Sus scrofa: one gene and its partners. The protein of the gene in region 4 purifies or fractionates together with the protein of the main gene of each other region. This does not show direct contact. Links are inferred from orthologs where the notes say so. Each region holds a gene or a part of one and is shown on either strand. Other genes may lie near its edges. The genes, in order: CHRAC1, BAZ2A, HMGXB4, SMARCA5, HDAC2, BAZ1A and RBBP4.

Region 1 (4,489 bases), on a different chromosome or scaffold from region 4:
GAATAAATGTAAGAGAAAGTGCTTATTTTTATATTTCACAAATGTCTCAGAATAACCAAGGCATTAGAATAATAAAGGGTTTTAATAAAACTAGTTCCATAAAACACTTTACTGTAAAAAGTCTAGCTTTTAATTTAAAAAGTTATTTCTTTACAGTTTAAAAAAATGCAATATTTGAACAAATACAATGCCAAACAAATTTTCTTGAAATACAAAAATTCAGATGTAACATACTACCCATAGACCACGTATTTTAGCTAAAACCGGATCTGGCTGTTTACAAAAACTAATTTCAAAATATACACATGTGAATTTATACAACTGATATTTAGAAGTTCTTCAAAATCTATCTGTAAGCTACAAAGCTAAGCAAAGCTGCCTTGGCCTCAACGGCTTAGAGCTGCAGACTGGCTGTGACCCCAGCTCGAAGCCCCTTGTTTGGACCCCCACTCCGGTTGCAGCGTGGGCCTGGGAAAGAGACGCTCTGCTTTGGGCTATTTACAGCAGAGGCACCTCACGCCCCATCTCAGCCAGGAAGGAACGTGGTGTCCCTGGGGTGTCTCGAGAGTGAGCAGACGCTTGCTCAGAGCAAAGGTGTTCATCCCGGAGCCGTGCTCCCCGGCCGGTCACTAACGCATTTCTTTTTGGCTTAGGATTCCGCTTCATCATCACTCTCATCGTCGTCGTCGTCATTCTCCTCCTCTTCTCCCCTCTTCTCTTTAAGCATTTTCAGATATTTACTAGCTAAAATCTTCTTTGGTAATATGTCTTAAAAAACATAAAGCTAGCATCAGTAATGTAAATTTCAAAATGTCCCAGTTCCTGCTTTGACCTCTAAACAGGTTCCAAGACAAAACAAAGTTCAGACGACAATTCTGGGTAAACAGCAGGAAACTAGCCCTGCAAACCTGCCTCCCTTCCACTGAAGCAAACCGCGTGCTTCTGGGTGCTGGTGCCCACGGCTCAACCCAGCCCGCACAGGGTGGCTGCCCCAAGGATCCCCGTGAGCTCTTGTTAGCTGTGACCCACAGCTACTGCTGCACAACAACTCTGAGTTTCTGTTTCCTGGACCAATTAAGGAGGCGTCAGGGAAGGGCTGCCACGCCCCAGCCAACAAACACCCTGTAGGGAGAGTGCTGGCTTCTTGGTCCAGGTGAATCACATTACAAACATACTCAAACGGCCAAAACTAAGACTCATGCCAGGTCGTGGGAAACTCTGGCACCTAGAGAAAACAGCCAAGTGTCTATTTCAGCGCAAGAAGAAAAAAGAGCAGAGAAAAAAGCGTAAATTGCTAAGCATTTTTTTTAAGCAGAATGTTTGAAAGTCTAAATACCTGCAAGAAACTGAAAAGTTTCCGACTCTTCTGCAGTGTTTGATAAATCACTGTAAGTGAGAGCTTTCTTTTCTCTTCCACTGCCATGTCGGTAGGAATAGGTGGCTAGATACTGAACAAAGAGTTCCTAAAACAAAATGAAAAACGAAAGGTGTGCTTTGAAAACTTACAGACCTTCATTTTTAATTACACTCATTTCGATGACTGCAGATTATCTCGGTTTCCCAAATTACAGAAAATCACGCGAGAAAGGACTACGCGGTCAGAAAGGAAACAAAGGCTGAATTAAGTTGTCAGGGAAGCAGGCGTCTCCCTAAAGTTTACTTTAGATTTATAACTTATGAAAAATAATCAAAAGTGATTCAACAATGAGTCATATTTAATGACGAACCTCTGGAGTTAAAAAGGGCAAGAGACCATTCAAAAATTCGGTGTGGCTGAGGAACACACTTCCGTTTGAACACAGTGTTTCCAGGCTGTCCGCCTACAACCGTTACGGTCAACAACCTAAAGGTAAAAAAACGATCAGCTTCCCTTTCTGCCCAGACTGAGCCCTGGGCTGAGCCTCTGGGAATTTCTATTTTAAATCCACCTAGTTCCGTTAGTAAGGGATGGAAGAAGTGCTTGCGAAACTCCTCAATTCCTTAACACCTACAGAACGAAGCTGGACCCGAAAGCACAACTATCCCAAGACCACGTGACCTCCCACCGCCCTCACCCTGACCGTAGGGACACCGGACACTGGGCGCAACCAGCAGGGGCCGGAAGCCACTCTAGGGAACGTGAAAGCGAGGGAAACCGTGCAGCTGAAACCTGGCCCTGGGCAAGAACGCCCACCACGCGCCAAATCAAAAGACCGGGGAGGGGCTAGCACCTCCGGCTGTAAAACCACGGCCCTGGAAAGGCTAATTCTGACCTGGGGACGTGCGGCCCCGAAGACTGGGAGGAAGGCGCGGGCCCGTTCGCTCAACCGTCCGAGGGGTGGAGCCCAAAGCCACGAAAGCGGAAGCGGCCGGAAGCGACAAGAGGGGAGGGATTGGGGTTGGGGGCCGACAACTCGGGAGGAGGAGACGCCGAAGGAGGGGGGGTGGGCGGGGCGCTGGGCGCGCGGGGGAGGCCGGGAACGGAGTGGGCGGGGCGAGGGCGCGCGGGGTAAGACGGGATTGACGCCCGGGGGCGGGGCGAAGGGCGCGCGGGAGCTGGGGAGCGCGCGGCGGAAGGCAGCGAGGCCGCGCCCAGGAGAGCGCGCGGGCGCGCGCAGGGGAGCGGGCGGCGCGCGGGCCGAGGGGTACTGGGCAGCGCGGCGGGACTCGGCCGGGCTCGGAGGGCGGGGCGGGACGCAACGGTCCCGGGCGGCCCCCACTGTCGCCCTCCGCTTCTCACTCCTCCCCGCGCGGTCCGCCTCACCGTGGCCTTGGCCGTGAGCACCAGCGCCTCCTGGTTGATGCTGGACACCTCGGGGGAGCTCTTCATGATGACCCGGATGCGGGACAGGGGCAGCGACACCAGCCGAGGCTCCCCGCACTTGTCCTTGCCCGCGACCCCGTCCGCCATCTCTGCGCCCCGCCCCCGCGGCGGCAGCCCCGACCCGCCGCGAGGTGGCCGGCCCGCTCGGTTGGTGCGGGAGCGGCGTCCCGCTGCCCCGTGGGAGTTGTAGTGTCGGGAGGCGCGGCCCCGGGCGCGGACTACAAGCCCCGTGATGCCGCGCGCGGACGAGGCGGAAGGAAGGGCGGCTGGGCCGGGGGCGGGGGCCGGGGAGGCGTCTCCCTGAAGGTCGAGGCAGATACCGTGTAGGCAGGAGAGGACTGGGAACCGCGGGGGGAAGGGAGGGGGCTGGGCAGTGAGGAGCGCGGACGGCCCTGTTGATGAGAAGGCGCTTTGCTGGGAAGAGGAGCAGCAGCAACGGCGCGGAGGGAGGAGCCTTTCCGGAAAGCTCGGGAGGCGCGCTCTGCGCCCGGGGTGTGCGGGATGAAGGCGGAGAGGCGGCCTGGGGCCGGGTCCTATTGGATTGTAGAAGAAGGAAAATGGGGGTTCCCGTCGTGGCGCAGCGGAAGCAAATCCGACTAGGAACCGGGAGGTTGAGGGTTTAATCCCTGGCCTCACTCGGTTAAGGACCCGGCGTTGCCGTGAGCTGTGGTGTAGGTCGCAGACGCGGCTCGGATCCTGCATTGCTGTGGCTGTGGTGTAGGCTGGCGGCTACGGTTCCGATTGGACCCCTAGCTTGGGAACCTCCATACGCCCCGCGGGTGTGGCCCTAAAAAACAAAATAATAATAAGGAAAATGGGAAGTGCTGAAAGAGATCAGAGGGATGAGGGGATATGTCTCTTAAGTTGGGGGGGGGCTTTTGTTTGTCTTTTTAGGACCTCACCTGGGGCATATGGAAGTTCCCAGGCTAGGGGTCAAATCGGAGCTGTAGCTGCCGGCCTGCACCACAGCAACATGGGATCCTTAACTCACTGAGCCAGGCCAGGGCTGGAACCCGCGTCCTTTTGGGTGCTAGTCAGATTCGTTTCAGCTGAGCCGCGTCGGGACCTCCCGTCTTAAATTTTATTAAAAATCCCCCTGGCTATTGATGGAGAATAGACCGGAGGGGAGTGGTGAGGATGGGGAGGTTGAAAGGGTGGAAGCAAAGAAATTGCAGAGTAGAAGGTGATGGCAGGTGATGAAATGGGATGCAGGTGTGGCTGGGGTGAAGTGAGCTAGGGAACGGATGATAGGAAGTAGCCATGGGCCAGATGAGATAGGGCTTTGTAGATCACAGAATTCCTTCCAAAAGGGTTGGGGGGAGTAAGGGGGTCCCCCTTCAGTTTTACAAGGAATCCTCAAGTTGCTGTGTGTGAATAGATCGTCCAGGGGCAGGAGCGGAAGCAGGCAGAGAGCACAGTTAGGAAGCGGTTCCGGGGATGGAGAGAGACAGTGAGTCAGACCCGAGTGGAAGCGGTGATAGGGGATCTAATTTGACGATAGAGCCAGCAGGGCTTGCCAGTGTGTTATGGAGTAAGAGTGAAAGAACCGTGGTGCTGTTTGCTGAGATGGAGACTGCAGGAGGAGCAGAGCTGGCCCAGGTGTGGTTTGGAGCACGTTAGGTTTCAGTCGCCTGGGGAACGCCAGTGGCGGTGTCTCGTGGACTCTTGGCTCTTCCAGCCTGGAGT
Region 2 (3,826 bases), on a different chromosome or scaffold from region 4:
CTTCCCTTATGGTTTACAGGCCAGAAACAAGCGGAAACAAGAGACCAAGAGCTTAAAGCAGAAGGAGACTAAGAAGAAATCCAAGGTAGGTACATGAACACACAAGCATAACTTTGAAGTCACCAAACTGATGTTGCAAGACATGTGAGTTGGTCTTGTTTTATAGTCATGTTTCTGGGTCTAAGGGGGGAGGATGGGAACCAGGGAAGGGTAGTGACTTAAATCTTTATGGCACTCTTGGTTCCTCTCTCCCTTGTGTGGGTAGGCTGACAAGGAAAAGGTAAAAACAAAGCAGGAAAGACTGAAGGAGAAAGTCAAGAAGGAAAAGAAGGAGAAGGTAAAAATGAAAGAAAAGGAGGAGGTAGCCAAAGCCAAGTCAGCCTGTAAAAAAGCAGATAAAATGTTGGCTACACAGAGGCGTTTGGAGGAACGGCAGAGGCAGCAGATGATTTTGGAGGAGATGAAGAAGCCCACAGAGGACATGTGTCTGACTGACCACCAGGTAGTGAGGGGAGAATAACAGATCCTGGAGGGGCCGTCTGTGAAGACACTTCTGTTAAAGGAAGAACCTCCTAGGTATCCAGGCTGTAGCCTTCTCGTATGTTTGACAGAACCCCCCTACCACTTTTATCCCTGCAGCCCCTGCCTGACTTCTCACGCATCCCTGGTCTGATCCTGCCTAGTGGGGCCTTCTCAGACTGCTTGACCATTGTGGAGTTCCTGCACAGCTTCGGCAAGGTGCTGGGCTTTGACCCTGCCAAAGATGTACCTAGCCTGGGGGTCCTGCAGGAGGGACTCCTGTGTCAAGGCGACAGCCTGGGCGAGGTTCAAGATCTTCTGGTGCGGCTCCTGAAAGCTGCACTCTATGATCCCGGCTTGCCCTCCTGCTGTCAGGTGAGGGCCCTTCCTGGGCAGGTTTAGAGGGCCTGGGATCCTCTGCTCCTCTCCATTTTGTTTTCTCTTTAAACACAGGGAACTCCCTCCTCAAAATGATTAAAGCGAGTGAAGGGAGATATACGAATAATTCCCTACTTAGAACGGTACTAAAGTAAAATGCATTCAGTAGAAACTACTTCACATTTTCAATTTTCATCTTTTCCTGGGCTAGAGAAATGCAGTACGATGGTCTTTCATGATGCTGGGCAGTGGCAGCAAGTCAAGTGGCCCCCACCCAGTCAAGCACGCATTTACCCTTATACTTAGAACCATTCTGTGCCCATGCAGCCACTCTGTTTTTCACTTTTCGTACAATATTCAATAGATTACAAGATAGTCCACACTTTATAATAAAATAGACTTTATGTTAGATGCTTTTGCCCAACTCCAGAGGCTATGTAAATGTTCTGAGCATGTGTAAAGTAGGGTTGGCTAAGCTATCATGTTCTGTAGATTTGATGCATTTCCTTTTTGCTTCCTCCCCCCTTTCTTTCTTTCTTTCTTTTTTTTTTTTTTTTTTTTTTTGTCAGCCCGTGGCATACGGAGTTCTCAGGCCAGGGATCAGATCCGAACTACAGTTGTGACATACGCCACAGCTGTGGCAACACTGGCTCCTTTAACCGACTGTAACTGGGGTCAGGGGATGGAACCTGTGTTCTGGTGCTGCAGAGATGCCACTGATCCCGTTGTGTCATAGCAGGAACTCCAATGCATTTTCTCTCTTTTTTTTAATGGAATTTTTATTTTTCCTTTTATGGAAGTTCCCCGGCAAGGGGTCAAATCAGAGCTGCAGCTGCTGGCCTATGCCACAACCTCAGCAACACTGGATCTGAGCCACATCTGTGACTTACACCACAGCTCCTGGAAACACTGGATCCTCTAACCCACTGAGTGAGGCCAGGGATCCAACTCATATCCTCACAGGCACTATGTCAGGTTCTTTTTTTCTTTTTTTGGCCACCCGCGGCATGGCTCAGCAGGTTAAGAACCCAACATAGGGAGTTCCTGCTGTGGCAAAATGGGATAGATGGCGTCTTGGGAGCACTGGACTTGGATTCAATGCTCTCCCCAGTGCAGTGGCTTCATTTCCACTCAGTGACGATGGGAACTCTCCCCAATGCATTTTCAAATTAAAATATTTTCAATTTGAAGGAGTTGCCATTGTGGCTCAGCAGTTAGCAAATCTGACTAGCATCCATGAGGATGCAGGTTCGATCCCTGGCTTCGCTCAGTGGGTTAAGGATCTGGTATTGCTGTGAGCTGTGGTGTAGGCCGGCAGCTACAGCTGATTCAGCCCCTAGCCTGGGAACCTCCATATGGTGAGTGAGGCCCAAAAAGGAATAAAATAAAAAAACTCTTTTTCAGTTTTTGATACGTTTACTGGGACATTATCCCATAGAAGTCAGAATGATCTGTATACTACATGCTAGCTCTTCTTGTAATTTATTGCCTTATTCCTAGATTAGTTCTACTCATTTCTTCAAGATTTTAGGTCTTGACTCTTATCATTCTCTCCAGGAACAAGTGGAGGAAGACCTGTAGTTTCTTTCTGTTTCTGTTTTACAAATTTTTTCCTTCTACTTCTTTTTCTTTCTGACTTCCCTCTGCTTATTTTGTTCATTTAACTTTAATCTACTCCTTTTCTTTTGTACCTTTCCTTTTCCTTCTCTCATCTTCTCTTAGCATCTTTCATTCTTTTCCTATCTTAACCCCATAGCTCTTCCTACTGTATTTTCCTATTCCAGATTCACCCGACTTGAGTCATTCCTCTTTTTTCTCTTAACTCCTGTTATGCTCTCCTCCAAACAGTCCTTAAAGATCCTGGGGGAGAAGGTGTCTGAGATCCCACTGACAAGAGACAATGTGTCTGAGATCCTGCGCTGCTTCCTTATGGCGTATGGAGTGGAGCCAGCCCTCTGTGACAGCCTCCGAACACAGCCTTTTCAGGCCCAGCCACCCCAGCAGAAGGCTGCTGTCCTGGCCTTCCTTGTGCATGAGCTCAACGGCTCTACCCTCATCATCAAGTGAGGGGCTGGGGTGGGGGTGGTTATTGTGTCCCTTGATTGGAATGGGAGCGGGGAGGGGTTTAGCCATGGGTGATGTGTGTCCAGTGCCATGCTCTAGACATGCTGGCGTGACTTGGGACTGAATCTCATTTCTTCCCTGGGAGAGCCTAAACCTCTGCCATTCTTTTATCCTAGGCTCTAGGATGAAACTCCCTTTATCCTTGAGCCTCCCTTCTTTTGTGTGTGTGTTGCCACCTCTCCCTCAATATGCCATTCCCTCTTCCCCTGCAGTGAGATTGACAAGACTCTGGAGAATATGTCCAGCTACAGGAAAAACAAGTGGATTGTTGAAGGCCGGCTCCGAAGGTAGGGGTGGGACAAGAGGGTAGGGCCCAGGGAGAGGAGAGAAGGGGTAAAGGGGAAAGCATAGCCTGGACTTTTGCTTGGAACTCAAAGTCCTCAGCGCTTCTCCTGGGGTTGGGAACTTACCCCAGGGTTCAGGATGGCTTAGATTTGAGGTGTTCCTTTTGTGGCAGCATCATGTTCCTCACCACAGTTTCTTGTCATCTGTCTATCTCAAGACTGAAAACTGCTCTGGCCAAGAGAACTGGGCGACCTGAGATAGAGCTGCAGGGGCCAGAGGAAGGCCTGGGGCGGAGGCGCAGTTCTCGCATCATGGAGGAGACCAGTGGCATGGAAGAGGAAGAAGAGGAGGAGACTGCAGCTGCCGTCCATGGCCGTAGGGGTCGTAGAGATGGAGAGGTACGTGCCCAGACCAAGGAAAGTGGGAGCTGGTGGGAGTTGGGAGACAGATTATTTCTTTTTCTAGAATCTGATGGTTACCTTTTTCTTGGTATCCACTTGTTTCTCCAGGTTGATATCAC
Region 3 (3,826 bases), on a different chromosome or scaffold from region 4:
TGGTCAGATGGCAGCACCGATTCTGAGGTCACTCCAAGTCGAAATGTAAAATCACAGAGGAAACAACTGGCTCAGCCTAATGTCCAGGGGTTTAAATATTTCTTCTAAATTAAAAAAATATATATATTTCTTCTGACCTGCTGGCTCGCAACACTGATAGCAGGATAAAAATGAAATGGAAAACAAAAACTTATTTGGGTAAAAATTATATGTTGTTTCACCCAGATGAACTGTACCTTAAAGCAAGACGGTAATTCTAATTCCTGCACCACCTTTACATCATCTTTTTTTTTTTTTTTGCCTTTTCTAGGGCCGCTCCCACGGCATATGGAGGTTCCCAGGCTAGGGGGCGAATCGGAGCTGTAACTGCCAGCCTACGCCTCAGCCACAGCAATGCAGGATCTGAGCTGCGTCTGTGGCCTACGCCACAGCTCACGGCAACGCCGGATCCTTAACCCACTGAGCAAGGCCAGGGATCGAACCCACAACCTCATGGTTCCTAGTCGGATTTGTTAACCACTGCACCACAACGGGAACTCCACCTTCATATCATCTTAAAGTGACTATGAATGATACAGATATGACTACTCATCACTGGCTTATTAGCTTTTTGATATGAAGGCGTATTAGTTGGTGATGGTTGAGGAGAATGATGATGGGGAACCTACTTACCCAGTAAACACTGTTCCATGCTTTATTATTTGCTGTGACTATGAAGTGGACCACTTTCTTCCGTTCTCACACTAGGACTGACCAGTAGGTGTTAGTAGTAGACTTTAGATTCTCTCTTCCTTTTTTTCTTTAAGGCCGCACCCCTGGCACATGGAAGTTCCCAGGCTACAGGTCGGATCAGAGCTGCAGCTGCCGGCCTACACCACAGCCACAGCAATGCCAGACCTGACACATGTGCAACCTACACTTTGGCTCACAGCAATGCTGGATATTTTAAGCCATTTAGCAAGGCCAGGGATTGAACCTGCATTCTCATGGATACTAGTTGGGTTCACTGCTGCTGAGTCACAATGGGAACTCCTAGATTCTCTTTTAACACAAATCATTGCTCAAATTAGATCATCCTGTGGCTAAATGGAAGGCTGTTGGGAAAAATTAGATGAAGTAAGGAGAGACAGTCTCTCTGCGACAGAATCCTCGCCTGAGTGAACCGGCACCAATCAGTTCGCTGCCCTCTGCTAGCTCATTTTCCACTGACTTGAAATTTTTTTCCTCCTACTTTCAGGGTTGTTTGGGATGGTCTATAGGAGAATTATATACTTTGAAAGGCATAAAGCAATGAAAACATGCCCATAATAAAGTGTACTTACCAGTTTGTCCTTTTCTGGCAACTGTTTCCACACCTCAGCCAGTTTTTTACTAAGTTCCCCAAAGTCTGCCATAAAAGAGTAAAAACAAACAAATAAACTCAATAAAGGTTTAACCATAAATACATAAAATGGAAGTCTGATAAGAGCAAAAACTGGGAAAAGGGTTTTGAAGATCAGATTTAAATAGCACAAGATTCTTTCAGAAAACTAAACCAAAGCCCATTAACTTTCCCTGATTCTTTTCTAGAACGAAGGGGCTGTTCTGGTGTCATGAGACAGGCTCAAATTCTCACACGTCTACTCTCTAAGGATGTATTCCTTAAGCATCTTTATGGTGTCTTTTAATTTGATCCCACAAAGCAGCGCTTATCGACTTAGGTTAAAGAAAACAAGTTACATAGAATTTGATAAAAGATGTTAGATTTTTACCAAGTTTCTGAGAGCGTGGAAAGAAAGTGGAATTTCCCTAGAGCAGCTCAGATGTGATCTTCCAGATGCGTAATGCTGTGTTTCCACGTGAACAGCGAGTGCATTCCTGCCTTACGTGGCGTGCCTCACCGCAACGCTGGTGACAGGGCCGGGAGGCTAGTTTCACACACTGGGTGAGTGAGACTCGTAGAGGTTACATGACGGGTCCAAGGTTACATGACGGGTCCAAGGTTCAGACCCATCTGAACAATATGTGAGCTCACTCTTAAACAAGGGCAGTTTAAGGATTCCTGTGGAATCTTGGAAGTAGAACACTGCATATTTATGTGCTGTGCTTTATGGCTGGGGTGAACGAAGACACAAATCTAAAATGACTTGCACAGCTGAGGAAAGAAATGAGTTTGGAGTTCTTTTCAAGCTTGGGAAGAAGTGTGCCTGCTGACCGACTGAATGAACTGCACTGCTTCGGAGACACAAAGGGGAAGTAAAAAAACGAAAGATGAGAAATGTTCTTACCTATGCCTGGATGGTCAGCCACAATGGTCACGCGGTACTCTTTACAGAACACCTGGTAGGCTGACATGTTCTTCTTTTTTGGCTAAGCACCACAGAAAAACACAACAGGACAGGACTTAATTAGAACACAAAGTTGAGTAACCCTGCCTCTGTGGGAACAAAACAGAAAAGGTACCTGCACTTTTTCATCAAGAGATCTAAACTACCAACTGGCTTTCCTAAACAGGATAACTGATTTTTAAGCTGTGTTACTTATGACTTAGAGATAAGTATCAATTTTACTTTTAGAATGTAAAAACCACATGCTAACTTATTCTTGGGTTTTTCAGGCTGTTGGAGGTACTTATTTGCAAAGCCCCTCATTCTTCCCACATACAATCCCATGGTACATATTTCTGTTAGAATTAAACACTAGGAAAATCTTTCTCTCTCTTAGGTTGTCTTTTTCTTTTCTTTTTTTTTTTGCCTTTTTAGGGCCGCACCCAAGGCATATGGAAGTTCCCAGGCTAGTGGTCAAATTGGAACTGTAGATGCTGGCCTACACAACCACAGTAACGTAGGATCTTAGCTGCATCTGTGACCTACACCACAGCTCGAGGCAGTGCCGGATCCTTAACCTACTGATCGAGGCCAGGGACTGGACTTGCATCCTCATGGGTATCAGTTGGGTTCGTTACCACTGAGCCACGATGGGAACTACAGGTTGTCTATTTTTTATCTTCTGTAAAAGAACCACATAAGTTCTCTTTACTTTGGGGCCAGAAAGTCCAGAGCCAAATTTATGTTCATACTGTTCCTCTGGTTTTTATTTCCAGTCTTATAATTTTCCTGATCCTGCTTTGACTGTCACTTGTAGTTTCTCATTACTTTATTATTCACATCCTTGTGGTCCAAGGTGAGAAGTAAATAAATAACTGAAGATGATTCACTGGTAGTTAATATAAGACAAACCTCTTTCACTTCAAGAAACTGCTTGAAGTATGTTATTCTTCACTGTATTCTGACAATTCCAAAAGCAAGGTATGATTTTTGAGAAACAAAAACCAAATATGCCTTTAAAGTCAGGTCAATGAGTGATATATAAACAAAAGATTATATGTTACTGTGCATTCCATTTTACAATTATCCATAGACTGAGGGAAAAAATTAAGTTTTCCTACCTGAAAAGGGGCATCACATGGCACCCGTCCAAACCTCTCATTTTGAGGATGAGAAAAAGGAAATTCAGAAAAATAGTGATTGCCTGGGTGCCACAGTTATGCCAGTTGTACACTAGAATGGCTACAATCCAGGAAGCCTGACTTCCAGGGCTACCGCAGTATAGGCCAAAGGAAAAAAAAATATGTTGCTTCCTTATAGAAAAAGTTACTATTTCAAACCTCATCTGTAAGTATCAAAATAGGATGGTCGGCCCTTCATCTCCTCCTCTGCTTTTCTGGCCCTGCAGTTATTACAGTGACATAACCATTTGGTGCTTTAAAAGCTACTGGGAACTTCTGTTTGCCTCCTGGGTCATACTTTATGGCCCAAACAAACCAACAAACAACGTCATCCTGTCT
Region 4 (3,198 bases):
TTCTATACTACTCTAAATCCTTTCTAGAGCCTGTGTAGATTACTAGTGAGAGATGAGGGGAAACCCATCATAGGTTTCCATGACTGTTTATCCAGAACTGGAGAAAAGTGGCATGTGGTACGTAGACTGCCATAATTCTGGTGGTAATAATACTTTTAAGGGAAAGAGTATATATATATCTCTTATTTAAGTTTTAGTCAATTTTGACCCTCAATATGTGCACTATTTATAATCTTTAAGTTTGGGTTTACATGGCAGTTCTCAGGTATAGACACATGAGGAATACACAACAGTATAGTCTTAAATAATGAAGTGGAAAATGCACAGTTATCTTTTTTTCCCCTCCTAGCATGGATTGTGTATGAAAATTGTTGTTCCTTTTGCTTTTTAAAATTCCACCTGTTGGGGATGTGTAAGTGATGTTCTAATCCTGTTACAATATACCTTGGTTTTGAAATTGTAATAATGAAAACTTGGAGATGGAGAATACAGGCTTACCATGTAAATTTATAACTCAGGAGCTCCAGCGGAGGTGTAACACCTTAATTACCTTGATTGAAAGAGAAAACATGGAACTAGAAGAAAAGGAGAAGGCAGAGAAAAAGAAAAGAGGACCAAAACCTTCAGTGAGTACTCATGAAAAATATAAATATTTTCTTGGAGAACTTAACTTTTTCCAAGAATTTGAATATTATTTGGCTATCAGTGATGTGTTAGTCTGTTTTTGGTAAATAGTATGGCCTGAACTTGCTTAAAAAGTATAAATTAATCTTGATTACCTTGTGTGGGGAGAATCATGTCATGGTGGTAGTTCATAGTATGAGGATTTTGAGAACCTGGGAAGGTCTGTCTGGTGAATGCTAAGAGCCTACACCTGATTTTTAGAATATGTAAAGAAATAGTAGGAAAGCAGTGATCTTTACAGCCTTTACTGTTGACTTCGAAGCTTTGATTTGTTGTCCCAGTGGTATTTTAGCAGTGCTAAAGCAAAAGTTTGAGAACAAAAAAACCCTCTTTTTTTATTTAATAATAGTTTATAAGTCATTGTTAAATAAACATCTCTAGGTAAGTCTGGTATTTATGTAGCCTTACAAAATATTTCTCATTACTGCTTTGTTTTGATAGAGGACATATGTTATACATTTGTTTGGTGTACTGGTTTACATTGCTAATTGTGAATGGTTCATTTACTTTGTTATCAGCATTAATTTTTTTATTGTGTCAGTAAAATGAGTAGACAAATACGATTACTTGGAGAATTAAGGTTATTCTGGGTAAGAAAATCTGATAGCTGTTACTCAGTTGCAGCTATTAGTCTAGCGCTGTCATGTGTCTTTTAAGAGTACCCTTGTGATGAAGATATTCCTTGTGTTTGTTTATAGACACAGAAACGTAAAATGGATGGAGCACCTGATGGCAGAGGAAGAAAAAAGAAGCTGAAACTATGAATACATATTTGTTTCATAATCACTAACTTTAAACTAGTAGTTCTTTAATTTACGGGTCTTCATAAGATGTACTGTACAATGCTCAGTCGTTATGTCATTCAAAGACATCAGGTTCATCTGTTTACCGAGCTAGAAACATAGTATGTAGTTTCACTTTTTTAAATGCAACAGCTGTGCTGAAATTTTTTTATCATTAACACTTGAAGTAATAAAATAGGCTTCATTTATTAATAAATGTTTCATTTGATTTATTTTTCTATTATAGTTCCATTTGTGAAGATTGTGACTTTTTGTTTATCAGCTATAATTTCTACACTTGTAAGGCTTAAAAAAGAAGCAAACAAGTTTAAAAAATTGCAAATAACATTTGTCCCTTCAGTCTTCACTTAGCTGTGTAATTGTTTTAATTCACTTTGCCTTTGCAGAAATTTGGGTATCTCCTTTGTAGTGCTGTTGAGTCTCATCTGGGAAGATTATGTAAATTGCATTCTCCTTGCTTATTATATGGGTAGAATGGGAAAAAAAAAAGGCAAGACAACTTCTCATTAAATTCTGTGCATATTTGTGTTATGCTTTGTTTCTGTAGTTGGTTCTGAGGTGAATACGCTCTGTTCTGTTTGGAAGAATGGCCTTTTAGTTGTATAGCCAAAGACATTTAGTATTTTCTGGTTCCTTAAGGTGTTACTGTACCATTTTGTAAAAGGAATATTATTATTATTTTTTTTAATTGTTTGGTAAATATTTTGACAAATTACCTTCTGAAGCAGCCACTACTTAGAAAGATAATGTCAAGACTAAGGTGATTTTTTCTTTTTTAAAAAGACCCAGCCAAAATAAGGTGTGAATTTGTCATACTGTTAAATTGAAATTGGTAACAAAATGTATCCCATTCCAGTTTACCTTTTTTGGGTTGTAGGGTAATTGAAAATTTTATTTTATTATATTTAAAATAATTTCTAAGTGTAAGCAGCAAGACTGACTATAATTCCAGTTTTTATTTTCTATGGACAGACTTGATAAACTGGAGACCCTGAAGCAGGATGACCCAAATTGTAGTGTCAGGATTTTAGCTGTACCAGAGGCCTTTATGTGCTACACATAATTTGTATAAAGTTTTATATGTGCAAATTGGGTACATAAACAGTTCTCCATTTTTCTAAGGGAATGCAATAAATGTAGCATCGTGAATAAATATAACTTTTATAATCCTTAAGTGGTCTTTTCTTTCCATTTCTTTTAATTTTCTTTTCTCATTTGCTATCTGTTTTTTCCTTAATTAGATTCCTTCCTCTCAGATTTCTATCAGTTGCGTTCATCTGCTGACACATAATTGAGATTTTTATTTATAATACTTTTTCTGTAGTATTAACTAATACTGCTTTTTAAAAGAGGGGTTGTTGCCATAAATATCAAGCAAAATACAATGGTTATGGTTATGGCAATTTGTGGAGTAAATTGTTTTGTGTTCCCCTTAAATTGATTTCTGTATAATCTTAGATTCTTAAAATAACAATTATGATCTATTGTAGCAAAATTTGAGGAGTGGTTACTTTTTCCATGAAAAGAACTGTCTTAGAGCAGTTGCCTTATTTTGAAAGAAATAGTTGGAACAACATAAGGCTGAAGAAAACTTTACAGAGGTCACAAAAGAAGAAGCAGTATTTTAAAGAGGAAGAAGTTACTGTGCATGTGTGGTTGGGGTGAGTGCAGGGGATGGGAGGAGGGAGAGAGGGGAAATATGAAAGGAACC
Region 5 (3,826 bases), on a different chromosome or scaffold from region 4:
TGTAAATACAATGTAAATAGTTGCCAGCAGGAAGCAAATTCAGGTTTTATTTTTTGGAACTTTCTGGAATAGTTCGGATTAACTAAAGCACACAAATAGGTAGGAGGTATACTCACCAGGCTTAGGCTAAAGTACAATCAATTTTTTTAAAAGCTGGAGAGTGAGGTTTCCCTACTGATATCCATTATCCCAAAGTTAACAAGGAACCAAAACAAAGCAGAGAACATCCAAATAGCTTTGGTAGTTTGGTGGACCAATAGGCTTCAGATAGGTTGTTTTACTTAAGTAGTTTTGGTGTTATTACACTGACTTTTCAAATCAATAAATAATTAAAATAGATCAGGACAAAATACCTAGATTTGGAAAAATCTAATTATAAGCTTCTAAAAGTACTCATTTATACTTATCACTACTAATGTATATTTTTAACACAGAAACGTACATCTCTGCATCTGCTTACTATACTCAGACATGTTATCTGGCCTTATTGAACGCAGAAATTTGATGTATTCATCACTGTGGTATTTTGTCATTTCTTCAGCAGTGGCTTTATGGGGCCTCTGTGAAGAAAAATAAATGTCAGAACTGCAGAATTACAACTGGTTATATCAAATACAAAGTATACAATTTCCCCTAACGATACTCTCGAAAAAGAATTAGGTCTGTCAGGACAAAGTAGATAAAATTCTAAAGCTAATCTATATTTATACATGTGTGTTTTAGGAAACAGTAATCATAGCTAAAGATAATTCATATTCCTATAAAAAGATTAGGGAGGTCTAACACCAACTATGAATTAGTCACTCCTTTTATTTTAGTGGAAATAAGTCAACTCTTCTCAAGACAAATCCATGTTCATACACTCTCCTTTCTCACATTATCTTTATTAACCTTCTGCTCTATATCCAGCAATTTCATCAACGACCAATAAACTTCAGTAAGGATGAGACTCATTCAGACAGAATGGATTCATTCTCTATAGTCTGTTCTAATCTCTCTTCCTTTGACTATCCTAATGATCCTTGTTCCTAGGAGGGTAATTTCATTTATGACACTTCTTCCACAAGGCTTCCTGATTGGTCTTATCCAACTCTTCTCCAAATGTCTATATTTGAAAGAAACAAAGTCACATATAATGCACAACATTAGTAACTGCTTCAAGTCTTTCTTTTCTTCCCATAGATAAGAACTGTTACATCTCTTATCTGTTTATATATACTGTATCTTTTCTACAAAATCAATACTTTGTTTGCTCACTAACACAATGTTCCTTATGCCAACAAATATCTGTAGGATTAATTTTCTACCTAATTCTTTTGTAACAGCCTCAGGTCAACTCTTCAGAAGCACAGACAGGTCAATATTTATTGTAATAAAAATATTTACTATGATAAATTGAGTTGTTTTCCAGATATGTGAAAACCTGGGGGAGGGAAACTGCTTTTTAAAATGGTTGAAGGAAGAGGGAAAAAAAGAGACCACAGGTCCCAAACTCTCAAGTTTTCTCTGAAGAATAAAACAAAAAGAGGAGTTTGTTTTCTTCTGTAACTTTTCATCTACTAAATGCCCTCTAACTTTGAAAACAAAGTTTCAAAGTAGCAGTTTAAAGAAAAAAAAAAAAAAAATCAGTGAATATTTTACCAAAAAGCATACTCACATATATTTCCATCTTTCTATATAAGCCATAATTTAGCAGCAAGTTATGCGTCATGCGGATTCTATGAGGTTTCATGGGGTGACCCTGTCCATAATAATAATTTCCAATATCACCTAAAATAGAAAAGAGACAAAATGAACAATACTAACAAAAGAATCTTCATGAACTATCTAAATTTTTACAGTTCATCATCAGAAGGCATTTTTCACCTAAGTAAGCTTTATTTAAAATCTTAAATAAGGATTTTAGATTTTACAACTTTCAAACTGTATTGGTTTTCTACCAAGATACTACGCACGGAGTTCCCGTCGTGGCGCAGTGGTTAACGAATCCGACTAGGAACCATGAGGTTGCGGGTTCGATCCCTGACCTTGCTCAGTGGGTTAAGGATCCGGTGTTGCCGTGAGCTGCGGTGTAGGTTGCAGACACGGCTCGGATCTCAAGTTGCTGTGGCTCTGGCGTAGGCCGGTGGCTACAGCTCTGATTCGACCCCTAGCCTGGGAACCTCCACATGCCATGGGAGCGGCCCAAAGAAATAGCAAAAAGACAAAAAAAAAAAAAGATACTATGCACATTTTTACATGCCAATTACTCCATTAATACATTATGTCTGCTCACAGATTAAGGTAAGCAAGCTTTTCCGATCTTTAGTTTACCAAACTTTCTTATTTAGGAGCAACCCAAATAAAATACTTTTTACTCACTTATAAAAAAATTTTGTTCCTTAATGATATCTGCTTTTAGTAATCATTGGCAAATTCAGATGCTCAAGGTAAATCCTCTGAGTTTCATCAGTATGATCTAAAAATTTTACAGCAAATACTGCTTCTGGGATGATTCACTGGTGTCCCAGAAATTCTTTTTTTTGGGGGGGGGGCACATCCACAGCATGTATAAGTCCCCAGGCCACAGACAGAACCCACAGAGCATCGACTGAGCCACCAGATCCTCAACTGGCTGAGCCGCCAGGAAATTCCATTCCAGAAAATCTTTATAGTTGGTATTATTCTGGCTAAAATATTCTGTATATCCAATATCATAGTTAATAACAGAAATTTTGGCAACTGAAATTTGGATTTTAAGTAAAGTTTTGCTACGACAGCATATTTAGGACATTTTTTAAGGTAATAAGGATACTTTGTCTCATTCTTCATGATTAGAAAGTGATAACTCCTGGAGTTCCTGCAGTTGCACAGTGGTTAATGAACCTGACTAGTATCCATAAGGATGCAGGTTCAATCCCTGGCTTTGCTCAGTGGGTTAAGGATCCAGTGTTGCCATGAGCTGTGGTGTAGGTTGCAGACAAGGCTTGGGTATGGCATGGCTGTGATGTAGACTGGCAGCTGTAGCTCCAATTCAACCCCTAGCCTGAGAATTTCCATATGCCGCTGGCGCGGCCCTAAAAAGACAAAAACAACAACAAAAAGGTGATAATTCCTAACCTATCTTTTTATGACATCTTATATTCCAAGGTCTTAAAACTTACATGTAAGATTTTAAATCAAGTAACACCAAAATTCTGGATTTTTGTTTATCAAATTTCAAGGATACCAATTAAATACACACTCTCTTTCTAATGTAATGGGCGATTTTTACAACAGTCTTTATTAGAAATCACTTTCAGTACTAATTCTAGTTTTTAAGCAAGGAATTCTAAAATTTTGTTAGGACAAACTGATTTTAATGGTTTGAAGTTAATCATTTAGACAAGTTCATATAACAAAAACTAGGGATAAAGAATGCCATTAATTCATCTTCTAAATCAAAAATTCTTTCAAGATCCTGCCTAAACACACACCTTTTTCTGTTTAATGGAAACTAAGAATTCAGAAACTTTTGGTTCTTCTCTCTTCCATATTTTTGACAATAGTCCAGGATGAACATTCATTTTTATAACATAACTGTTTCTATTACTACTTGTTTTGTTGATATCACACCTCTCTAATTAACTCTTCATTTTCAACACAAGCTCTCCTCTGAAAACGATTCAAACATAGACATGGTCATTTAAAGGGAAAGCCATCTTCCTTAATGCAATAAAGCACGGGGACACTCCTCTGCATTTATCACAATTCAGAGGCTATGACTTCAGGAAAGTACCTTCCAAGCAATAAAGCTGTGGCCTACAGAGTGGCAGCACATATATACAGTTTCTTAAAAGCAGCTTGG
Region 6 (3,710 bases), on a different chromosome or scaffold from region 4:
TTTATTATAGTTGATTTACAATGTTCTGTCAATTTCTGCTGTTCTGCGAAGTAACCTAGTTACAGATATTTATACATTCTTTTTCTCACATTATCCTCCATCATGTTCTATCACAAGTGACTAGATATAGTTCCCTGTGCTATACAGCAGGTTCTCATTGCTTATTCACTCCAAATGCAATAGTTTGCATCTACAAACCCCAAACTCCTAGTCCATTCCACTCCTTCTGCCTCCCTCTTGGCAACCACACGTCTGTTCTCCATGTCCATGAGTTTGTTTCTTTTCTGTAGATAGGTTCATTTGTACCATATTTTAGATTCCAGGTATAAATGATATCATGGTATTTATTCTTACCTAAGAAAATTGAGTGATTTGGAAAGGTTGAATGTTGAGATACTTTGGATCATTTTCAAAAGACTCACTATTCAGAATTACTATGGAGCAACCTAACCTGAAGCATAATATTCAAGGAAGGGGCAGCTATTTGGGAACTAAAGATAAACTGCATTACTAGTAATTCTACTAATGTAGCAGAGTAGTTGTTAAGAAATTCGCCAACAGCGAGTTCCGTTGTGGCTCAGCAGGTTACGAATGTTACAAGTATCCATGAGCCTGTAGGTTTGATCCCTGGCCTTGCCCAGTGGAATCCAGTGTTGCTGTGGCTGGTAGTTGCAGTTCTGATTCGACCCCTAGCCTAGGAACTTCTATGTGCCATGGCCCTAAAAAAAAGCAAAAAAGAAAGAATGTTCTGAGGTGTTTTGTTTTTGTTTTTTGTGGGTTTTTTTCTTTTTGCCTCTTCTAGGACCAAACCCGCGGCATATGGAGGTTCCCACGCTAGGGGTGGAATCAGAACTGTAGCTGCTGGCCTTCGCCACAGCCACAGCAACGCAGGATCCGAGCCGCGTCTGTGACCCATACCGCAGCTCACGGCAACGCCGGATCCTTAACCCACTGAGCAAGGCCAGGGATCGAACCCGAAACCTCGTGGTTCCTAGTCGGATTCATTAGCCACTGAGCCACGACAGGAACTCCTACAATGTTCTGTTTTTAATGGAGAGATTGGCCAATACTTGCACAGGCTCAGCTTATCACAGTATAACATGTTTCATTCTCTTCCACCTTTTCTTCCTTCAAAACACACATACTCATCATCACCTCGATGAGCTACTTCTGGTAATTTGGTAAGTCTCCCATCTAACACACTGAATCTGGGGCAAGGGAGAGTTGGAACAGTAATATTGCTAAGGAGTGATGACCAATGATCTTTTTTTTTTTTTTTTTTTAAGGGGAGTCAGCAGGAGCCCTTTTTAGTTCCCCACCCTCATGATAGCTTTTGCTGAGGGGCCACTGCTAGCACCCCACTTGCTCCCCTCCCTTTGGCCTAAGACGGCAGGGCAGTGCAAGGGCAGTATGGGGGCACTGAAGGAGCACGCCACGACTCCCCATTCCCAGAATCATCATCATCATAACACTCGGCAGACCAACTATCTTTTTAATTCTGATAATTATTGTTCATAGTAGTATTTATCCATATAATAATGCCTTTACCCATTTATCTCTCTCTTTTTTTTTTTTTTTTTTTTTTTTTTTTGTCTTTTTGCTATTTCTTGGGCTGCTCCTGCAGCATATGGAGGTTCCCAGGCTAGGGGTTGAATCGGAGCTGCAGCCGCCAGCCTACGCCAGAGCCACAGCAACAGGGGATCGGAGCCGCATCCTCGACCTACACCACAGCTCACAGCAACGCCGGATCGTTAACCCACTGAGCAAGGGCAGGGATTGAACCCACAACCTCATGGTTCCTAGTCGGATTCGTTAACCACTGCGCCACGACGGGAACTCCATACCCATCTATCTCTTCAATCCTATCTTCCCTTTTCTTTAATGCCAGTAGTAATAAAACTTTGATTTTTTTAAAAAATGACGTTAACCAAAAAATGCTACTACTGTTCTTTGAAGAATTTTAGAGAGTTTGTGTTGCATTATTCAAAAACGTGACTGGGATTTCCTGTGGGTTTTTTTCTTTTTGCCTCATTTTACTATAGTCCAAGACATATTTTTAATAAAATGGAGTAAAAAAACAATCCACAGATTTTGTGTTCTAGAATTTCCTTTTTTTGTTTCTCACCTGTGCCACGTGGAAGTTCCTGGGCCAGAAATTGAACCCCTGCTCCCGGAGCCACAGCAGTGATAATGCCGAGTCTTTAACAGCTAGGTCACCAGGGTACTTCTAGAATGTCCTTTTGTATTACACTCTTTACAGTCTGTTCCCAGTGAATGTTTATTTCAATTGGAAACTTTTAATATCAAAAGGAAATAATGTGTGGTTTCCAAGGGGGAGGGAGTGGGTGGACTGGGAGCTTGGAGTTAATAGATGCAAACTATTGCATTTGAAGTGGATAAGCAATGAGATCCTGCTGTATAGCATAGGGAACTATATCTAGTCAATTGTGATGATATAAAGGACATGATGGAGGATAATGTGAGGAAAAGAATGTATATATGTGTGTATGTGGCTAGGTCACTTTGCTGTACAGTAGAAAATTGACAGCACTATCAACCAACTATAATGGAAAAAGTAAAAATCTAAAAAAAAGAAAGGAAATAATGAATTTTTGGTCTAAATTTATATGTCTCAGCACGTAAGTTAGTTTAACATCTCAGTGGGTAGAGTATCGGTTTTCTGGTTGAATTTAGTTTTTATTTATATGCCCTGTTTGGCTTGTGGTGATCAAATATTTTGCTTGGTTATCACCTAATAATTAATACAATTCTTTATTCAGAATCATCTCCTATGACACTGAATCGAAGGAGTTCAGGCCGACAGGGAGGAGTTCATGAATTGTCTGCTTTTGAACAACTTGTTGTAGAATTGGTACGGCATGATGACAGCTGGCCTTTTTTGAAACTTGTTTCTAAAATCCAGGTAATATTACTAGACTTTATAAAATTATTCATGTATATATCTGATTTAGTCTACATGGCAACTCTGAGGTAGTCAAAGTACTTATTTAGTCACTGTCTACTTAAGAAAAAAAACTTGGCAAGTTGGTTCCTATATTGAAAAAAATGGAGTTAGATAGTCAGCTCAGTCCCTTCTAGTGCTGTGACTGATTCTTTTGTTTTTGCTTTTAGATAACTTTACTTTTAAATGTTTATGACTAGTAGGAAACTTCACTAAATAGGAAAACAAATAGAGATACTTGCTTTTGTTTTGGCCAAATAGTACAAATGAGATGTGGAAGAGAAATTTCCTCTTGATAGAAGTTTTAAAAGAAAAATAACACATTCTTGGAAATGATTTAAAATTGAAGAATCCTGTCATGGCTCAGCAGGTTAAGGACCTGACTAGTATCCATAAGGACACGGGCTCAATCCCTGGCCTTGCTCAGTGGGTGAAGGATCTGATGTTGCCATGAGCTATGGTGTAGATCACAAACGTGGCTCAGATCTGGCATTGCTGTGGCTATGGCGTAGACTGGCAGCTGTAGCTGCAGTTAGACTCCTAGTCTGGGAACTTCCATATGTTGCAGGTGCAGCCAACAAAAGACAAAAAAAAATTTGATAACCAGAGTTACTCTAATGCTGCTATGACTAGTTCTTATAAATTATGACATTGTGTTGAAATAACCTCACTTTTTTATGTAATGAATATATATGTAATGGGTTCAGCTGAGTATCATTATTGGTATTTCTGTTATGTAAAACAGCGT
Region 7 (4,289 bases), on a different chromosome or scaffold from region 4:
CCCCCCTCCCCCACTTTTTTTGCTCGCTTAGGGTCACACCTGTAGCACATCAAGTTCCCAGGCTAGGGGCTGAATCAGAGCTACAGCTGCCAGCCACAGCCACGCTCTGAATCTGAGCCACATTTGCGACCTACACCACAGCTCACGGCAACACTGGATCCTTTAATCCACTGCCAGGGGCAGGGACTGAATCCACATCCTCATGGATACTGGTTGGGTTCGTTACTGCTGAGCCACAACGGGAACTCCAGATTTCCCCATTTTTAAAAAGCTACTACGAAAGTAGCATGCTCATTAAGTTGGCAATGAAATTTCTATAAAATTTCTATTACTTGTTGAGCTGAAACATAGGCCAACAACCACATTTTACAAATATCTTGACTCAAAAGACCTGAGTTCTGAAGGAACCTAGTTATTTAGCATACATATAACTTTCAGCTGTTACTCTGAACACCAACAGTTTTGTAATAAAAAATCCATTATTCCCCCAGGCACGCTCAGTTTGTTAAAGCTTTATACTACTTAAAGTCACCTTCCTTTTCACACTGTCACTTCCCACTGAAAGCCTTTCCTGATATTCCAAGTTGAGATAATTTTCCTTTCTCTGATCATTTTATCTTTGCCACTTTCATAATTATACCTGCCTATTCACTAGACTTGAAAGCAGGTACCATGTCACATTTACCTTTGCATTAACTAACTAGAAAATACCACTGACTGCCGAGATTCAAACATTTTGATGTTAAAAACTGAACTCATCCTGATAGTTTCTGAAAGCTGACAAGTTTTACATTACCATTTGGTCAACTACAGCTATAATCCCACTATTCAATTCAGTGTTAGGAAAAGGAAACATCTCCCACACTGCTGGTGGGAAAGCAAACTGGTGCAGCTATTATGGAAAACAGTATGTAAATGCCTCAGAAAACTAAGGATAGAGTTACCATATGACCCAGCAATCCTACTCCCCAGTATATATCCAGACAAAACTATAATTCAAAATGATACATGTACCGCTATGTTCACAGCAGCATTATTCACAATAGCCAAGACATGGGAACAATCTGACAGATGAATAAAGATGTGGTACATATATACAATGGAATACTACTCAGCCGTAAAAAGGAAGAAATAATGCCATTTGCAGCAACCTGGATGCAATTAGATGATCATACTAAGTGAAATCAGAAAGAGAAAGACAAATATCATTTATATTGGAGAGTCTAAAATATGACAAACCTATCTACAAAACAGAAACAGACTCAGATATAGGAAATAAATTTGTGGTTGCCAAGGGGGTTGGGAGAGGGAGCAGGAGGTGGGGGTTAGCAGATGTAATAAGCTAGTCTACACGAAAGTGGTAATAAACAAGATCCTACTGTATAACAAAGAAAATTATATTCAGTGTCCTAGGAAAACCATAATGGAAAAGAATATATATCCAAAAAAAAGTGTACACAGGAAACTGTGATTGGGTCACTTTGCTATACAACAGAAACCGAAGAAGCATGGAAAATCAGCTGTACTTTAAAAACATAACTGAATCACTTTGCCGTACAGCAGAAATTTACACAACATTGTAAATCAGTACCTCAATAAAAACAAGTAAATAAAAAGAAAACATCAGTATGTTCTCTCTTATATGCTAAACTGCAAAATAATTTTACATTTTGCCTTACTTTCTGGCCTAGGAAAAAAATGTCACCAATAGGCTTTGATCACGTGTCCTCTACGGGTGACTGGAGAGAGGAAAACAGGGAAAATCAATGTGAGAAATCTACACTGAGGACACAACAAAACAGCATTCGAGAGATTCCTATCACCTGGTTACATCTGGAAGCCACTGTGCAGTTAGGCTGGGCCACTCCAGAGCATGGGTCATCACCAAATCGTAAAGAAAAGGGGTGTTCTTTTTCCATATTTTGTACTCTTCGTTGATCACACGTTCTTCTACTGCGTCATCAAAGGCTGCTAAAAAATTAAGAACAAATTAAGTTAGCGACCACAAACGGAAACCGAGTAAACACTTCCAAAGCTACCGTCACGGCTCCTGAATCCTGATTCTGAAATGGAGATTAGTCTAGATCTCCCGGAGGCGCAGGCACCACCACCGCTCTCCAGCTTCGCCGGGCGGGAACTGCTCGGGTAATCCCGACCAGACACTCCGTTAGCCCTTCGGGCGACGGCGCCCGCCGTCGAGCGCACAGAACCGACGGTGAGACCGAGCACCGACCCCTGCGGGTAGGGAGAGCGGCCGGGAGGACCCGGAGAGAGGCAGGTAGACCGACGGGGAGCGCGGGAGGGACCAAACACCCCCCCCGAGGCCACCACGGCCAGCCTCACACCGCTGCGCCGGGCCTCCGCTCCAGAGGGGCTGGCGCGCCATGAGCCCGCCCCGCGGGGCGATTTTTCCTCACGCCTGCGATGGCGGGGACGGCCCTAGGCAGAGTCTGGCCTGCCCCCACCGTTAGGCCGCGTTGAGGCCGCGGCGCAAGCCTGACTCCTCCCGCCCTCCTGGGGCGGCCCCGGCACCCTCACCTTCCTTGTCCGCCATGGCGTACAGGCAAGCCGGGGGGATCCTGGGGCAGAGCGTTGCGAGAGGGGCGGGGAGGCTGCGAGCGCTCCTTCTGCGCGCGCGGCCTCTATTGTTTCCTGCTGCCCCTGCGTGAGGGCCGACTCGCGCACCTTCGCGCCAACATCGGCCAATCGGAGTGCGCCGAACGTCGGTGTGGGCGGGGAAGCCGCGATCGCAGCCTATCCAGACGCGCGGAGCAGCTTGCCTCCAGGCCCAGGCGCGCGCTCTGCCCCTGCCCCCACACGGCCCCAAGCCGACTTCCTCCGATCACGCGCGCGCGCTCGCGCGCGCGGGAGTAGTAGAAGTGCACCCGCCCGGGGTCACGTGAGAGGTTTAGTCCGCACGCTTTTGGGGGCAGCCATTTTCGTGAAGGGTGTTAAGCTAGCGACCCCTTCAAAGTAGTACTTTAGATGGGAAAATGTAGGATGCTTCCGGGTCTAGTTATCTATTGTGGGGCTAGGCGGCAAGAAAAGGCCTCTATCATTCAGATCGAAAGGTGTCTAATTCGTGTCCCTTATTCCACGTCCTCCAAATTATTTGTTTCCTTAGTCGTAGGAAGAACTATTAAGCAAGAGCAGAAAGTGGGTCCTTCGACTTTTAATGATGTGCTCCAAACCCTGGGACACAGAACGGAAGTCTAGAAGGATTAAGTACCTCCCAGGGAATGGAGCCCTGGTCCTTTAAGGGTGTGCCAAGGGGCGGAGTCTAGAGCGGAAGTTATAAGTCAGGGCCGAAGTCCAGCTGAAGAAGGGCGGAAGCTGAGTTTGGGTCCAAAAGCACAATCATGGCGCTGGAAGGGGAAGATTTTAGAGATTACAATTTGACTGAGGAGCAGAAGGCGATCAAGGCCAAGTATCCTCCAGTCAATCGGAAGTACGAGTGTGAGTAGGTGTCTCACTTCTCTCATTACCTGGGGCTTCTGGCCTCGCCTTCCACTTTGTCCCCTACGGTACTTCCGGCACGTTCCCTTTTAGCCCTGTTTGTCTCTTCTGTGCTTGTCCCGCGGATGCTGAAGGGAAAAGCCACCCGGTCTGAATCGGAAATCTGGGCTTCCACATTTAGTCTTTTGAACTTTTTCTACGTGTGCCTATTCACGCTTACTTTGTGGGAATTTTATTGGTGTATTAATTCTAAACACAACCGTGTTTTCAAGCGTTTGCGGAGTTGTCGTCTCCTAAGAGTGTGGCTAGGTTAGGGGACTGAAAGCTCTCAGTAGGGAACTTCTAACTTGGTGTTTTACCTGTATCGTGTTAGTAAAAAGACCTGGTTTTGCCATATTTAGTTAAGTGACTTTAGGCAAATCACATAACCTTTCTTTGCATTCAGTTCCTTCATGTGAGGGATAATTGAGATAAAAATAAATGTGAAAGTGTAGTGCAGACTCTGAAGTTCTATATAAACCTTAAGCTATCATCCCTAAAGGTGGCTGTGGTCTGGGAAGGACTAATCTGACTCTAATATCCCTGCTTAAAATATTTCATTAAATTCCCCTTGTCTTCAGTATAGAATCCAACTATTTACCATAGCTTACTAGGCTTAGTTCTTTCTGGACCCTGTATGTCTCCCTACGCTCATTTTTCTCTCACTTAGCAATTTTTAAAAATTACTTTTAATAAGTTCTATACATGATGCCAAATTCAAAAAGTACAGGGAGTTCCCACTGTGGTACAGTGGGTTAAGAATCTGACTGAAGTGACTCAGGTTGCTCTGGACG

Evidence for each region.
Region 1: the proteins of SMARCA5 (region 4) and CHRAC1 fractionate together in Homo sapiens (co-fractionation; 5 studies listed by BioGRID and IntAct, with this or other methods). This does not show direct contact. The link is inferred for Sus scrofa from reciprocal best matches to the Homo sapiens genes SMARCA5 and CHRAC1.
Region 2: the proteins of SMARCA5 (region 4) and BAZ2A purify together in Homo sapiens (affinity purification with western blotting; 3 studies listed by BioGRID and IntAct, with this or other methods). This does not show direct contact. The link is inferred for Sus scrofa from reciprocal best matches to the Homo sapiens genes SMARCA5 and BAZ2A.
Region 3: the proteins of SMARCA5 (region 4) and HMGXB4 purify together in Homo sapiens (affinity purification with mass spectrometry; 3 studies listed by BioGRID and IntAct, with this or other methods). This does not show direct contact. The link is inferred for Sus scrofa from reciprocal best matches to the Homo sapiens genes SMARCA5 and HMGXB4.
Region 5: the proteins of SMARCA5 (region 4) and HDAC2 fractionate together in Homo sapiens (co-fractionation; 5 studies listed by BioGRID, with this or other methods). This does not show direct contact. The link is inferred for Sus scrofa from reciprocal best matches to the Homo sapiens genes SMARCA5 and HDAC2.
Region 6: the proteins of SMARCA5 (region 4) and BAZ1A purify together in Homo sapiens (affinity purification with western blotting; 8 studies listed by BioGRID and IntAct, with this or other methods). This does not show direct contact. The link is inferred for Sus scrofa from reciprocal best matches to the Homo sapiens genes SMARCA5 and BAZ1A.
Region 7: the proteins of SMARCA5 (region 4) and RBBP4 fractionate together in Homo sapiens (co-fractionation; 6 studies listed by BioGRID and IntAct, with this or other methods). This does not show direct contact. The link is inferred for Sus scrofa from reciprocal best matches to the Homo sapiens genes SMARCA5 and RBBP4.

The regions. Positions count from the first base shown.
Region 1 is NC_010446.5:3,025,817-3,030,305, forward strand, and holds the start of CHRAC1 (chromatin accessibility complex protein 1), read right to left. Parts: upstream 2,993-4,489; 5' UTR 2,891-2,992; coding exon 2,744-2,890; intron 2,406-2,743; exon of another isoform or gene 2,253-2,405; intron 1,464-2,252; coding exon 1,337-1,463; intron 769-1,336; coding exon 650-768; 3' UTR 1-649. UniProt on the Homo sapiens protein: Forms a complex with DNA polymerase epsilon subunit POLE3 and binds naked DNA, which is then incorporated into chromatin, aided by the nucleosome remodeling activity of ISWI/SNF2H and ACF1.
Region 2 is NC_010447.5:21,941,306-21,945,131, reverse strand, and holds part of BAZ2A (bromodomain adjacent to zinc finger domain protein 2A), read left to right. Parts: intron 1-19; coding exon 20-85; intron 86-265; coding exon 266-502; intron 503-639; coding exon 640-894; intron 895-2,745; coding exon 2,746-2,960; intron 2,961-3,233; coding exon 3,234-3,308; intron 3,309-3,523; coding exon 3,524-3,704; intron 3,705-3,815; coding exon 3,816-3,826. UniProt on the Homo sapiens protein: Regulatory subunit of the ATP-dependent NoRC-1 and NoRC-5 ISWI chromatin remodeling complexes, which form ordered nucleosome arrays on chromatin and facilitate access to DNA during DNA-templated processes such as DNA replication, transcription, and repair.
Region 3 is NW_018084968.1:1,835,424-1,839,249, reverse strand, and holds part of HMGXB4 (HMG domain-containing protein 4), read right to left. Parts: intron 2,350-3,826; coding exon 2,268-2,349; intron 1,388-2,267; coding exon 1,323-1,387; intron 1-1,322. UniProt on the Homo sapiens protein: Negatively regulates Wnt/beta-catenin signaling during development.
Region 4 is NC_010450.4:84,184,035-84,187,232, reverse strand, and holds the end of SMARCA5 (SWI/SNF-related matrix-associated actin-dependent regulator of chromatin subfamily A member 5), read left to right. Parts: intron 1-518; coding exon 519-626; intron 627-1,382; coding exon 1,383-1,448; 3' UTR 1,449-2,661; downstream 2,662-3,198. UniProt on the Homo sapiens protein: ATPase that possesses intrinsic ATP-dependent nucleosome-remodeling activity.
Region 5 is NC_010443.5:79,887,921-79,891,746, forward strand, and holds part of HDAC2 (histone deacetylase 2), read right to left. Parts: intron 1,771-3,826; coding exon 1,658-1,770; intron 561-1,657; coding exon 443-560; intron 1-442. UniProt on the Homo sapiens protein: Histone deacetylase that catalyzes the deacetylation of lysine residues on the N-terminal part of the core histones (H2A, H2B, H3 and H4).
Region 6 is NC_010449.5:65,063,609-65,067,318, forward strand, and holds part of BAZ1A (bromodomain adjacent to zinc finger domain protein 1A), read left to right. Parts: intron 1-2,780; coding exon 2,781-2,923; intron 2,924-3,710. UniProt on the Homo sapiens protein: Regulatory subunit of the ATP-dependent ACF-1 and ACF-5 ISWI chromatin remodeling complexes, which form ordered nucleosome arrays on chromatin and slide edge- and center-positioned histone octamers away from their original location on the DNA template to facilitate access to DNA during DNA-templated processes such as DNA replication, transcription, and repair.
Region 7 is NC_010448.4:88,985,642-88,989,930, reverse strand, and holds the start of RBBP4 (histone-binding protein RBBP4), read right to left. Parts: upstream 2,840-4,289; 5' UTR 2,555-2,839; coding exon 2,539-2,554; intron 1,972-2,538; coding exon 1,824-1,971; intron 1-1,823. Other genes in the region: ZBTB8OS (protein archease), read left to right, coding at 3,360-3,456. UniProt on the Homo sapiens protein: Core histone-binding subunit that may target chromatin assembly factors, chromatin remodeling factors and histone deacetylases to their histone substrates in a manner that is regulated by nucleosomal DNA.